2 linked regions of the Drosophila melanogaster genome follow. The protein of the gene in region 2 purifies or fractionates together with the protein of the main gene of each other region. This does not show direct contact. Each region holds a gene or a part of one and is shown on either strand. Other genes may lie near its edges.

Evidence for each region. Proteins that work in one complex are often made in the same cells at the same time.
Region 1: the proteins of rictor (region 2) and Sin1 purify together in Drosophila melanogaster (affinity purification with mass spectrometry; 2 studies listed by BioGRID). This does not show direct contact.

What each region holds. Positions count from the first base shown.
Region 1 is NT_033778.4:14,408,571-14,414,351, reverse strand, and holds Sin1 (SAPK-interacting protein 1), read right to left. Parts: upstream 2,528-5,781; 5' UTR 2,446-2,527; coding exon 736-2,445; 3' UTR 501-735; downstream 1-500. Other genes in the region: CG17385 (uncharacterized protein), read left to right, coding at 2,941-3,009, 3,068-3,627, 3,934-4,141. UniProt on the Drosophila melanogaster protein: Component of the target of rapamycin complex 2 (TORC2), which transduces signals from growth factors to pathways involved in proliferation, cytoskeletal organization and anabolic output.
Region 2 is NC_004354.4:19,255,435-19,262,840, reverse strand, and holds the start of rictor (rapamycin-insensitive companion of Tor), read left to right. Parts: upstream 1-1,600; 5' UTR 1,601-1,790; coding exon 1,791-1,854; intron 1,855-2,997; exon of another isoform or gene 2,998-3,096; coding exon of another isoform or gene 3,097-3,124; intron 3,125-3,194; coding exon 3,195-3,405; intron 3,406-3,468; coding exon 3,469-4,014; intron 4,015-4,474; coding exon 4,475-4,628; intron 4,629-4,686; coding exon 4,687-5,550; intron 5,551-5,617; coding exon 5,618-5,794; intron 5,795-5,857; coding exon 5,858-6,066; intron 6,067-6,234; coding exon 6,235-7,023; intron 7,024-7,125; coding exon 7,126-7,250; intron 7,251-7,319; coding exon 7,320-7,406. Other genes in the region: Vav guanine nucleotide exchange factor, read right to left, coding at 248-502.

The DNA.
Region 1 (5,781 bases), on a different chromosome or scaffold from region 2:
TGGTCACGCCAACAGCATCATCATCGCCATCAGACGAACGGCCTCAAATGTCGCGCATTTTGGCGTGATTTCGAGTCACTAACCTTGGCCTTAGAACGCGCTGCTGCAATCGCTTGGTTAGCCGACGCTGCAGATGCATATGCATGCAACGATCGTCTAACGGCAGTTAGCCATTATTCTCGACTACTCCACAGCTGTTAGCAGGCGACCTAGGCGCCCAACCCAGTCATCGCTGGCATTGCAAAACTAAAAATAAACAGCCAGACCGAAAACAATATGTGCAGTAATACGACTAACCGTTGGATCCGTCCCCGTCTGGTTGTCTGTGCGATTAATTGCACATTGATTACAGACAATTGCAGTGGGTAGAGTGAGAAAAACGGAAATGAAAACCAGATATACTGCTAAAAACGCGGCCAAATCGCGCGTGAATCGCTTCAAAACCGCAATGTAAACGCCAGCGGCAAGGCGGAAGCAAAAATGTAGAGATTACCGATTTTAAGTGTAAATTTTGCAATTTTATTTTCAGGACCAGGCTTCGTAGTTGGGTGAGTTCAATAAATACTTACAGGCTAGGCAAACATGTGTAACACAATCTTTAGTTAGCAACTAATACAACTTATCGAACAGGAGGCGGAGGCGGAGGCGGAGAAGTAGGCGGGGACGTTGCAGCGGCAGTGACAGTTGCCCGCCTGCTAGGCAAACGAGCGACAGCCGCTGCCATAGGAATAAATACTACAACTTCAGCTGCCTCTTCTCCTGCTTCCGATCGCGCTGCAAAAGGAACTCGCGCCTCAGATCGCTGGATCGCATCTCTAGTATGCAGTTCAGCTTGTTGTGGATCTGCTCCGCCGTGTGGGTGTCCGTATCGAAGTCGTAGTGCTTAAAGCGAATATTGCTGCTTGAAAAGAGTCCGGAAGAGTGACCCGGACTGCTGGGCGAGTGGGCAATCCCACCACTGCCGCTTCCCGCATTCAGTGTGGTTACGCTGGCGTTGATCGGCGCCGAAGTGCAGCCCGTGGAGAAGGAAGGGGACGAGGAGTTTGACTTCAGCCAGATGCGCAACAGAGCCTTCAGGTGGCGTCGCTCCAAAATCTCGCAGTGAGCAACAAAGTCAATGGGAGTGGATACGGGCTTCTTCTGCGGCCAGAACTTGGCATTCTTGCACTGATCGATCTCTATTCTCTCACCAGATATTCCCAGAGTCACATCGGATTTGAAGAACCTCTTGTCGATGATGTTGAGGCGGAAAGTACGATGCATGGGTGCTTCCAGCATATCGTTGTGATTCAACAATCGCTTCTCATACTCCTTGACATTATCGTGTGGACTATCGCCTCCTCCACCTCCTCCACCCGGATCACTAGTTCCTCCATTTAGGCTAATATTTTGCAGAGCCTTGACAGCCGCATCGGACAGAGCTGTCTTGTCTTCCACGGAAGTCATGGATTTACTGCCCAGCTGGCTGTGGTAATCAACTCGCGTCACTGGAGCCAATGGCCGACGCTCTGCGAGGGTCAGTTGGGAGAAGCCAAACTTAGAGCAGGGTTCGCGATTGTCCAACGGTGGGAAGTCTTCCATATCATCATTATCCTCTGTCATATACAAAGCGTAATGCTGCAGGGACTTCAAAGGAACGTCGGGATATTGTAAGGAGGTCCTGTAGCAGACAAAACCAATTACCTCCTGGATTTTGGCAGTGGCTACGACGCAGATCTTCAACGGGTAGTTGCGATCCGGCTCGGGAAGCATATTTAAAAACACGTTTATCCGTTTCGTTTGCATACCCACTTGGGAGGTGCCATCGAAGCGGGCGAATTCAATGAAGCGATTCTGTGCTTGCTTTGGACTTTTGGCCAACTGTTCAGTGAGCTGGCTCTGAACACCCTCATCTGACAGATCATCGTCGTTGGCTTTCGGTTCATTTTTAACTCGCTCAGCTTTGCTGAGGGGCAACTCTTTGCGTTTAAAGAAATCATCGCTCTCCGGTGGCTGCACTTCCTCCTGGTAGTTAACACTCTTGATGCGCGCCGCCCTTCGCTTGGCAATATCCAGTTTCTCTAGTTTTTGGGCAGTGTTGGAGCGAAAGCGGTGGGCGCCCACCTCCGGATACATTTGGATGTCAAAGGAGTGCGTGGACATGTCCTCCTCGTCGTCGCTGAGGTCCAGTCCCGGATAGCAGATGAAGTCCACTTCCTGGAGTGGCGCATCCGGATGCCGGGTGTTCCGCTCCGGTGTTGTCCCGCCCCCCGTCGGCGGTGTCTTGTGCGCCCGTCGCCAATGATAGTGATCTCCTCCAGCGCCCGAGTTACCGAATTTTCGCAAATAGTGTTTGGGCATGTCATCGCTCAGCATCACCGTCTCGCACATTCCGGTGTCGTCCGTGGATATGAAGGAGTTGCGGATGTGGGAGAGCAGCCAATGCTGGTTGGAGTAGGTCGCCATGGTAGTAAACAAAAGAAAATCTCTTTTTCAAAATTAATTTCTATTTATCTCAGCATCTCGGAAAAATGCACTAACGCCTTTGGATTATCTAGAGATGGAACATTGCGGTTGTTACTGGTCACTTTTTGGTGGTGGTAACGAATAGCACGCACAAGTCACCGTTCCCAACAGAACATAAGAGGAATACCTACTACATGAATATACTTAAATTATGCAATTAAGATAAAGGTTATACCAAGTACTTATTATCAAAGTAATATTTTGAATTTACATGCAAGTCTAGTTGTAGCGGTACTCGTTAAATCTGGTCTTTTTTCATTCAACGCAAACGGTCACTCTAGGCCACCATATGACTTTTTTCTGGACGCGAAAAATTGCCGAGTTACAGAATAAGTTAATTATAGTGAGTTTATCGTCGCCTGACCTGCCGTTTTTCGATGTCCACTTCTTGAGAACTCCCAATCGGATAGAGTCGATGTGCTAGCCAACGGCGAAATGGCGGGCATGGAGGTAGAATTCGACGAGACGGTGGCCAATCAGTTCAGCTGCAAGCGCTGCGACCGAGTAAGTGTGTGGGAAATGTCTCCTATTACCTCAATCTAACCACTATCCATTGATGCAGACCTTCAGAAGCAAGCGGGATCAGACGTTGCATCGACAAGAGGTGCACAACCACAACAAGACCACCTACGAGTGCAAGCTGTGCGCGAAGAGCTTCTGCAATTCGGGGAACCTGGATCGTCACATGAAGGTGCACAACGATGTGCGGCCTTTCGTGTGTAACATTTGCTCGAAGGCCTTCGCCCAGGCTGTGAACCTGCAGCGCCACTATGCGGTGCACAGCGGGGAGCGGCCATTCACCTGTAACTTCTGCAACAAGTCCTTCACCCAGCAGAGCAACATGAAGCGCCACAAGATGACACACACTGGCGAGAAGCCGTTCCGCTGCCAGCGATGCGGCAGGTACTTCTCCCAGCTGGTTAACCTCAAGAAACACAAGCTTGGCCACCTCAACGCCAAGCCCTACCAGTGTAATTACTGCGAGAAGGGCTTCACCCAGCTGTCAAACTTTAAGCGCCACTTGCAGTCGCACATAAAGGAGGGCGTCGATGTGGACGTGCCCGCCTCTATCCAGGCGGCTGCCGCCCTGGCCAGGGAACGGCTTGAGTCGGAGCAGAAACCGTGAGTACTTGCCGGCTGTAGAAGATCAAGGTGCCCTTTGATTAGTTCAACCTGTTCAGACCTACCTTAAGTTGCCTATTCGACACCGATTATCGACGGGTCATGATTAGATTCGGTGCTGATTAGTGTGCTTAACTGTGCTCATTTCCCTTTTATGAACAATTAATACTATATGCATTTTTGAAGGTGTACACGTTCCCAATCAATACTTTTATATATTAATTGACTAGCCTCAAAACTATCCTTGATCCTTCTACATTTGCTTGTTGTGAATTTTATTATTGAATTAAAACATTTCATTTTCAGAAGCTTTTTCGAATGCATGGTGTGTCGGGCCATCTTTGATACCTTCGCTGACTATGAGAAGCACGAAGCCAAGTGCCATGAGGACCACGAAAGGGCCCAGCTGGAGGTTAACCAGATGTCCCACATGCATCCAGACGACTATTTGCCCATGAAGTTTGCCGTGCCCGATCTGGATACGCACGAAATCATAATTGAGACTACACATTAGAAATGGCAATAATTTTAAATGAAATACCACGAAAACACACAACCCAACTCACACCTAAACATACAAATAGCGGCGATTCCGACGGAAAGATGGAATGTGAAGAATATTGCATTGAATATACAGATATGAATATATATGCAGGCCAACATAGTTCTCCATTGAATTACACCAATAAATGCAATAAATATGCAGATAACCAATGCGAATCCTTCGCTATCCCTGTTGCTAATCGATCCGATCTCTGTTGACATTGTTGCGTGAATCAGGCTAACCCGTCGATTTACGGACCCTAAAGACGTTTTAACTGCACCCTTTATGATGTGCCATTTTATGAGCATATGTATGATATTCGCTGGATTTTCCCGAGTCACATCATCAATTCTCTCGTTCGCAAGTCCCAAAACCTCACAGTGCGTAAATTGTCGCTTTAATGACACATTTCGCACAGCCGTAAAACTGTCCCTTTTCCAGCTTGTCAGGCCAACATTCTTGCGTCATTAATGTGACAAATATGTTTGCCCAAATAGTCACGTTACCACTCACTGTTGTTCGTTAAGTTCGAAGAAGAAAGGTAAAGGAATCGCCCGATGGGTCTATAATTTATACATGTGATTTCTCGACTATTTGATTGAAACTAATTAAAGGCACGTTCCTGACTTGTTTACCCGCCAGCAGTCATGGAGCAATAATTGATCGCACAGTCCTTGCTATCAGCATCCACCGCTCGCTCTGACCATGTCCTTGTGGCCTTCGCAGTCATCGTTTTTGCGGCACTAAATCAAACTATTTATACATCTGACTCCCCGGACTACTCACACTTCCGCTCGCACAGGGAAATAATATTTCATGTCCACATCGTCGTCCTGCCACATTTTCTGGCTGTGCATGTGTGCGCCTGGTTCAATTGGCATGCGGCTGCTTAAATGGTCACTGCTTGGGGCCTCGGACTAATAGGTTCACATTTATTAAGCTGCCCAATGTCATTTGTTATAAATTTATTATGGTAAATGTCCTGCTCCTGATCTCAGCTCATAAGTTTAAGCAGTCATGTGAAGATGGCAAGAAACTGCAGCTAATTTATAGGATGCTGATCTCATCGGAGTTGATAAGTTAATTTAATTAAATTTATTTAAATAGTAGGGGAATGCAGCGTATTCTGTTTAAATTTGAAAACTATTCCTTAATTGATTATTTAATTTTTTGTGTAAGCATTATCCTTTTTGAACTTAGTAACAAAGTACATATATATCTCTTCTTAAACAGAAATATGTAAAACCGCGATTCCGTTTCAGTTTCTATTGTAAAAAATCCTTGCTGCAGATTTAGGGGTTGTGTTTTCAATGAAATCAATAGCTTGTTCTGCCCCGCCCCTTTTTAGGTCGCCGTTTGGGGAATTTAATTTTGTGTGTGTGCGCTTTTTTATACAGTTCAAATATTTGCACGCTGAGATTGTGTGGCAATAACGCTCCGTTTCCCGGCCAACACTTGCCGCCCTTTTTTTTTTGTGTTGGCCAATTGTTTGCTCGGCAGTGCACAGCATGCAAATAATCACCGTCGAATCACAGTGTGCTCAAACATTTGGGGGCGTGGCAGTTATGACGTCAGCCACGGTTAATGAGTCCTCGGTTCCCTTATTTCCT
Region 2 (7,406 bases):
TATTATTTATTTATTCACACATGCAAATTCGTGCATAAATTTGGCATATTCTATTTCTTTATGAATTTATGATGTTTTGGCCAATTATTGTCACTAATTGTAAGTGATGTTTGTTTTAATGATTTAAATTATTTTTACAGATATACTTCCCCCTATTTCTCTCAGTGTTGCTTGTTTACAAGGTTTAGAGTGTGCCACCCATTCACAATTTGCCAGCAAAGTCACTTGCTTCTCGCATTTCACTCACCTGTGCCATTTGCGGCTTGCGATTGAACTCGCGCGGATCCAAGCTGCTGGGGTCCAGGTGGATGACCAGGTTGCAGAGCAGCACGCCGTCGCGCAGCGTCATCGCCAGGATGCGGATCTCGGCGTCCGGCTGGGCGGCCTTGTGGTCGGGCGGAATGACCTTGCACCTGGTCAGCCAGGCGACGCACTCGCGCCACAGATCCCCGTTCACGCCGGCCACGCCCCCAAAACTGTTGCTGCTACTGCTGCTGGCCATCTCGCAGTGGTTGGGTTGGGTATTACTATATGGATTGGGATTTGGTTTTCGTTTCGGATTTGGAGGAGGGGTTGCGGGTGGGGCGCTGGCGTTGGCGGTGATGGTGTGAAGTGGGGCGCGGGCCCAACTGGCAAGTGTTGGAGGGGGGAGGAGGAGGGTGGGTGGGTGCTACTCGCGTCGCGTTAATGGACACAATTGAGACTCATCAGTTGGCCGTTGCGATTGGATTGGTGAACCCGAGCACAGATACACAGAGCAAAAACGGAAGGCAATGAAGAGCACAACACTAGCCAACACCACACACAACAAAAACAACGATTTCGGGACAATTCGAGCGTAGTGGGGTGTATCGCGTTCGCGAAGGGCTCACCCTGTGCACCGGATACGCGCGAACAGTGCTTGCGGCTGCCGAGTTGCTCAGAAAGTGCTCGCCACTGTGGTTTTAAAACTAATTTACTTTATTGCAAAATATTGCGTTTATCGAAGAGGAAGAGCATACTCGACTTCGATAACAGTCTGGGCGGCCGTGTAACCGCTTGCGGCTCCTTCGAAAATACCAACTGCATGTGTGGTATTTACGATATGTTAATAGCATTGTTACTTTGTGACGAAAATTAATTGTGCACCTCGGTATGCTTTAATATAACAAGTTGATGTAAATTAGTAAGTAGAGTAAATACACATGACATATATTGACTCCAAAAAAAAAGTCACCAAATAATCTTGCAGAAGAATATTAAGTAAATTTTCCCTTACAGTATTTGTTTTAATTTCGTAATTTATAATCATATAAAATAGTTCTACGATAAGGAGAATTCCTATCTGGGGGTAATTCAGCTGTCCTCGAATTTCTCAGGTAATATTTTGAATATTTCCGTTCAATTTTTATAATTAGTGCACAAGAAATTCATTATATTACAGACACTAGCCTTTCAGAGGAAGTAAGCAAGCAAAATTGTATGTCAAATGTAAATGTAAGATGTAAGTGTAAAATGAAATGTTTTTCATTGAAAGTCGCGTAAATATTCCAAATTCTCGTGCCCGCGGTGGCGCTTCGTAGTTGGTTTTTTCTCCTGCGCCGACGACGGTCACTTTAAAGCGGCGAGCAATAAAAAAAATGTAAATTGTGCAGCAAGTGAAATTGAAAAGCAATATATTTAAGTGTGATCTGTGTGTTGTGGTGTGTGGGTGTGTGTTCGACATACAGCTAATAGGCGAGCGGGCGACGGCGCCGCACCCGCCTCGCCACGCCCCCATCGGCGAATCGAAAAAGAGGCGAAGCAACGCGATGGCCTCCCAACATTCCAGTTGGCGTTTTGGCAAGCGGAGCAAATTACAATTACGCATCAAAGGTAATGTAACGAATGTGCTAATTGACATCAAACACGGCGACGGTGGCATCGGCATAATGGCGCAATCACTCCGTTCGACGTTTTGTCTCACATGGCTCGCCCCACCGACCCCCGCCATTCCATTCAGTTTGCATTATTTTGCATTACGGCGAGGCATAAGCATTACAGCAGCAGCTGTTGTTGTTGTTGTTGTTGTTGTGGATCTTGAGCCGACCTCATCCCCAACCCCACCTACCCCTCCAGCAGCCTTCTGTTTATTGGACTTGGCCAATAATTGGTAGCAAAGGGTTCTTTTTTTTGTTGACATTGATGGCAACTAGCAACAACAATAATATGTTGTTGAGGGGGGCGGGAATGAGCACACTGGCAGCATTGCCCATAACGGTAACGATGTAGCAGCGATGCAACAGTGATGTACGCATGTATCGACAGCATGGCATTCTGATCAACATTTCTCCTGATCTCCTCAGTGTTTCCTCCGTTATTTATACATTTGTTGTTGTTCTCGTTTCTATTTTCTATTTAGTTTTTATTTTTATTTATGTATTTTTTGGTTTTATTTTGGTTACTTTTGTTGTTGTTGCTGTTGCCATTTGACCAAATTCTTCGACTACATGTTGGCCGATTATTTATAGAACGGTCGCCACAGCATAGAGAGAGCCCCCAAAAACGATGACGCAGCACAAGCAACAACATAGACATTCACTAAACATCGACCATAACAATAACAGCGATAGCAACAGCAGAAACAACAACAATAACAACAGCCACTACTAGAACTACAAAAACAATAACATACGAAATGCTCAGCTTGGTTTCTTCCATTCATCGTGTCCTTCACTCTTTCGTTCTTCTTCGCTCGTCATGCTCTCTCCTTTCTCTCTCTCTCTCTCTCTGTCGCTCTCCCCCTTTTCCAACCAAATCCATCATGCAAGTACAGTTAGCTGTAACGACGACAACTGCAACAACAACGAAACTGTTATGACGCTGTGTTGTTGTCATTTCACGTGCACAGCCTGCGTCAGCGTCGGCAGAGACAGAGGCAGCGGCTGAGCTGATTAGCTTTCCACGATCCACGATCAATTTCACTTTGATGGCTTTCTAATGCAAGTCGCTGTGTGCATGCATGTGTGCACCTCCTCTTGACCGTAAAAACCCCATGTACTATGATGATTTGAACATGTGCATATCCGAAAAAGCTATTACTTGCAAATAATATTTATGTAATATTCAAGTACATCGATGTGGCCATATTATTCATTCATAAAAGGTTGTTTTAATTAGTAATTAGTGTGTACGGATCTGATAAGAAAAGCAATGAAACTTTTCCTCCATTACAGTTTCGCAGGATCCGGAGGACTTCTACCGCCTGGATCCACAGCGATCGGCCGCCGAAAATGCATTCGAAATATACTCGATGCTCTGTTTGGAGGAGACGCGGGACACGAAGCGCCTGTTTCTGCTCAACGCGCTGGCCTCGCTCTGTTTGGGGGCCCGAAAGGGCTCCCACCACAGCAATATACGCTTCACCACCGAGGAGCTGCTCTACTGGTAAGATGCCCGTTGGGGAAACCATTGTTCTTAACATGGCTAATTGATCGCCCTTAATTGCAGCCTTAGTGCCTCACTGGTGCACACCTTCACCCAAGTGCGAGCGGCGGCACTGCGAACGATCCGGTATGCCATTAGCACGCCCAATGACATCAAGACGTTCAATGCACTGCAGCTGCAGCACCTGCTCTGCCGCTCCATCGATCTAATGCTGAAGAACGACGACGAGCGCGTCCAGGCACTGAAGCTGGTCCGCAAGATGCTGGCCATCGCGCCGGAGGACATCAGTCCGGCGGTGGTGCGCTGCCTGGTCTCGCTGGCGGATAGCGGCATCGAGGAGAACGACAATCTGTTGCGTGCCTGCCTGGCCACCCTGGCAGAGTTCGCTGTGCTCAATCCGGCGCTGCTGATCGTCTGCGGCGGCGTCACCTCCATAACCCGCAATGTGCTAGAGTGCCACAATCCCCGCATCGCTGAGAGCCTGTGCGGCGTGCTTCTGTACCTGCTCGAGTGGCCGCAAACGAGGAACATCTGCGGTGTGCGGCTGGACTGCCTGGCAGCTCCTTATTGCGATTTCACCTACCGGCAGAGTATCGTCGATAAGAACAAGTGAGTGCCCTAGTGAAGATCCCACCAATCCCTCCTTGAATACTGCAGCTTGGCTGCAGAATACTACAAATGGGTTACCCAAAACAAAAAGCAGTTTATCAAGCCAGATGTAAGACGGATCCACTTCACTCATTAATTCGCCGAAAGTAATTTAATGTAGAGTAATTATATCTGCTGTTGAATTGTAACCAAATAATCGATGAACATCACGCCGTCTTTTGAGATTATCAAACAGCGGATGCAAACATGAAATTCTAAAATAGATAACTAAAGGCAGCACGGCCATTGACCTCGTTTCATGCTCTAAATGAGTAGTTAAATCGGGCGAAACACTTTTGGAAAATCGAACAAGACTATCCCACAAACATCTACTGAAGTTTTTTCACAAGATGTACTACTACAAGTTGTAGATAAGCGCTATCAGTTACATCATTCTTTTATAAATAAAACTATCTTTCAGGGATGCGCGCGAACTTCGCTACACCAGCTGTCGGCTGGCACTGCTGTCTGTGCTGCGCAGCTGGACGGGCACCCTCGAATTCTGTGATCCTAGCAAACCCTCAGGCCTGAAAGCAATAGTCGACGCTCTGTATTTGAACCAGATCGAAGTCAGAGTGAGTACATTCCCCTCTTAGTATCGATCTGAACTTACTGAACATGCAATTTGAACAGAAAGCAATATTGGATTTGCTGTACGAGCTGCTCACGCTGCCGCAGCCAACCTGGACGGATGACTATGCGGTGGCGTTGCAGGCTGTGGATCCGTCGGACTTCCAGGACACGTGGCTGCTGAGCAATGGTTTCGTGTCCGCCGAAGGGCGCTCCATTTTGCCAACGCTGGCGGCGCGTGCACCGAGCGTAGTAGAGCAGCACCTGGCGCTGATGCTGTACTGTTTCCTCGAGACTGGACTGCTCAATGCGCTCGTCGAGGTTGTGGTGAGCAGCGATCAGTTCGTCTCGGTACAGGCTACGGTGCTGATTGGCAAGATCCTGCAGCTAATGCACACCCACCTGCCCCCGGATATTTGCTGTACGAGTCCGGCACTGCCCACGCTGGTGAGTCATGCCACATTGGGGAACCAGCAGGCCAATGCAGCGGTGGCCGCTCTGCAAAACTACCAGAAGTTGCTGCGCCAGCGGCCGGCGTCGCGCAGCTTATTCCTAGACAGCATTATCCAGGGCGGTGCTCTCATCCAGACGCGACTGTTTCGTCGGCACCTCAACGTGCAGGAGCAAGCGGGTCCTGTGCTACAGTTGCAGGAAACGGCGGAGGCGGCGGCATTTGCGGTACCGCCTGTCACTCAGTTTCGCGGCACCCTCGATCGTTCTCGGCTGGATTCTGTCTCCTCCAGCGACGAGTCCAACTCACAGGCTTCGACCTCGTCGAGGTCCAGTTTTCGACTGAAGCGTAAGTTCCTTCCGCAAGCCTTATATGATAACTTCCGAGCCTTCAATCGGCTGCTGACAGACTCCCGTGTGCTGAGCCAAGCGGACGCGCATCTTTGGGACTGGGATGTTATTACCACCATACTGAAGGTAAACTAAATCAGAAAATATTATGGTATCTCCAGTTTATAAACGATTCTCATCTTAACATTTGCAGTCGAATTTAATCCGCAAACTGGACTACACCCAAGGAAAGTTCCTGAAGCGACTCGTGGACTTCTACAAGCCGCGCAATAATCGGTTCTCTCACCAGGATTTGGTGCCTGGACAGAGGCTGCCTACATATGTCAGTGCCGGATTGGATTTAATTGACGTCCTCCTGTCCAGCAATGAGGTAGATTCTCTTAATGATGGCCTAATTAGTGAAAATAGCCTAAAGTTACTCGTTAATTTGCAGCTTGAATGTATGCGCTTTATAACCGACTACTTTTCGGACATCAGCCAACAGCTGGCGGCCGTCACCACATCGAATCGTGCACACGACTGTCTATTTAGTCCACAGCATATGAATAACACGATGTGTCAGCAGTATTTCCTCTACATCGGACGCATGTGCCGAACCGTAAAAGGCATCGAAGTACTCAAAAATACCACCGTATTTGAATAGTGAGTGCTGAGTGATATGTACATAATTTGACTTAAATCTTGTCAAATTAGGTTAAAGAATCTAAAGATGTTAGACCAAAACGAATCGACTAATCGGAAGGGGTTAACTCATTCAATATTAACTAAACCTAGTAAGACCTTCGCTAATCGAGATTTCCTTAATTTCAGCTTGATCAATTTGGTGCGGGTGACGGACCACGTCTGCTATGTGAAGCTAATTGTGTCCGGCCTGAACTACAGCTACGAGAAGCTACCACGTCAGGTGCTGGAAAAGGCGCTTACGTCGGCGAAGACACGCGGACGTCTGTACTCCACCCAGTTCATGGCAGTGCTGCTGCGTGCCCGTCTGCCTCACTTTGAGGTATGGGGCATTCCATTGATTATCAACCAGACGCGGGATTCGGACCGTAGCGTGGGGCTGGCAGCCATGGATGTACTGGAGGAGGCCTGCCACGACAAGTACTACCTGGAGGAGATTGTCAGTCGGTGGCCCAATCTAACGCATCGTGGTGATGCAGGACGGCTGCTGATGGCCCGCTATTATTCACTGCCCCGCGGCCTGAACAGTACGATGGCACGAATCGAGGATGAGATCCGCTACTGGCGGAATGGGTACAACAAGCGCTACGTGCTCCTCGTGGAAGCCGACACCCACTCAAGCCTGACGCTGCACATCCGCAATGAGGATGGCTACTACTCGCGTCGCAATTGCAACCAGAGACCACAGACTGTACCACCAAACGTTGCACCTCATCTGTACGGGCAAATGGCACAGACTGGCCAGGGTATGACAGCTCTGCGGAAGCACGGAGACCTGCCGCAGCTATTGGAACTGCTCAGACGCGCCAAATGCACGGACGATGCCGAGTGCCTTGAACTGAAGGCCGCCATTTGGGCACTGGCCCACGCCTCAACCCACTCCAATGGAATTGAATACTTTGTCGAACTGAATGCCAGGTAAGTCACATACATATCACATAACTTCGAATCGTGTCCCACGAATTTGAAAGAGTATACACAAAAGATGCAAGATGTTACAAAGTTATTTATTGTTTGTAGACTATACGAGAAGCTTATTGTTCTGGTGACCAAATGCGAGGTATATTCGGTGAGGGCCACCTGTTTTAGTGCCTTAGGTCTTATCGCAGGCACACAGGCAGGTGCCAATATCCTTTTTAAGTTGAGTAAGTGTCCCATCACAAATGTGTTTGAAAAACTGATTGTGTCCTAATTGAAAAATGCATGTTTTGCAGACTGGCTGAGCGTGCGACATGACAAGAACACAATGTGGCCCGTGCATCAGCCGGAGGATTGGATGTCCAGCCAGTACACACCGGTGC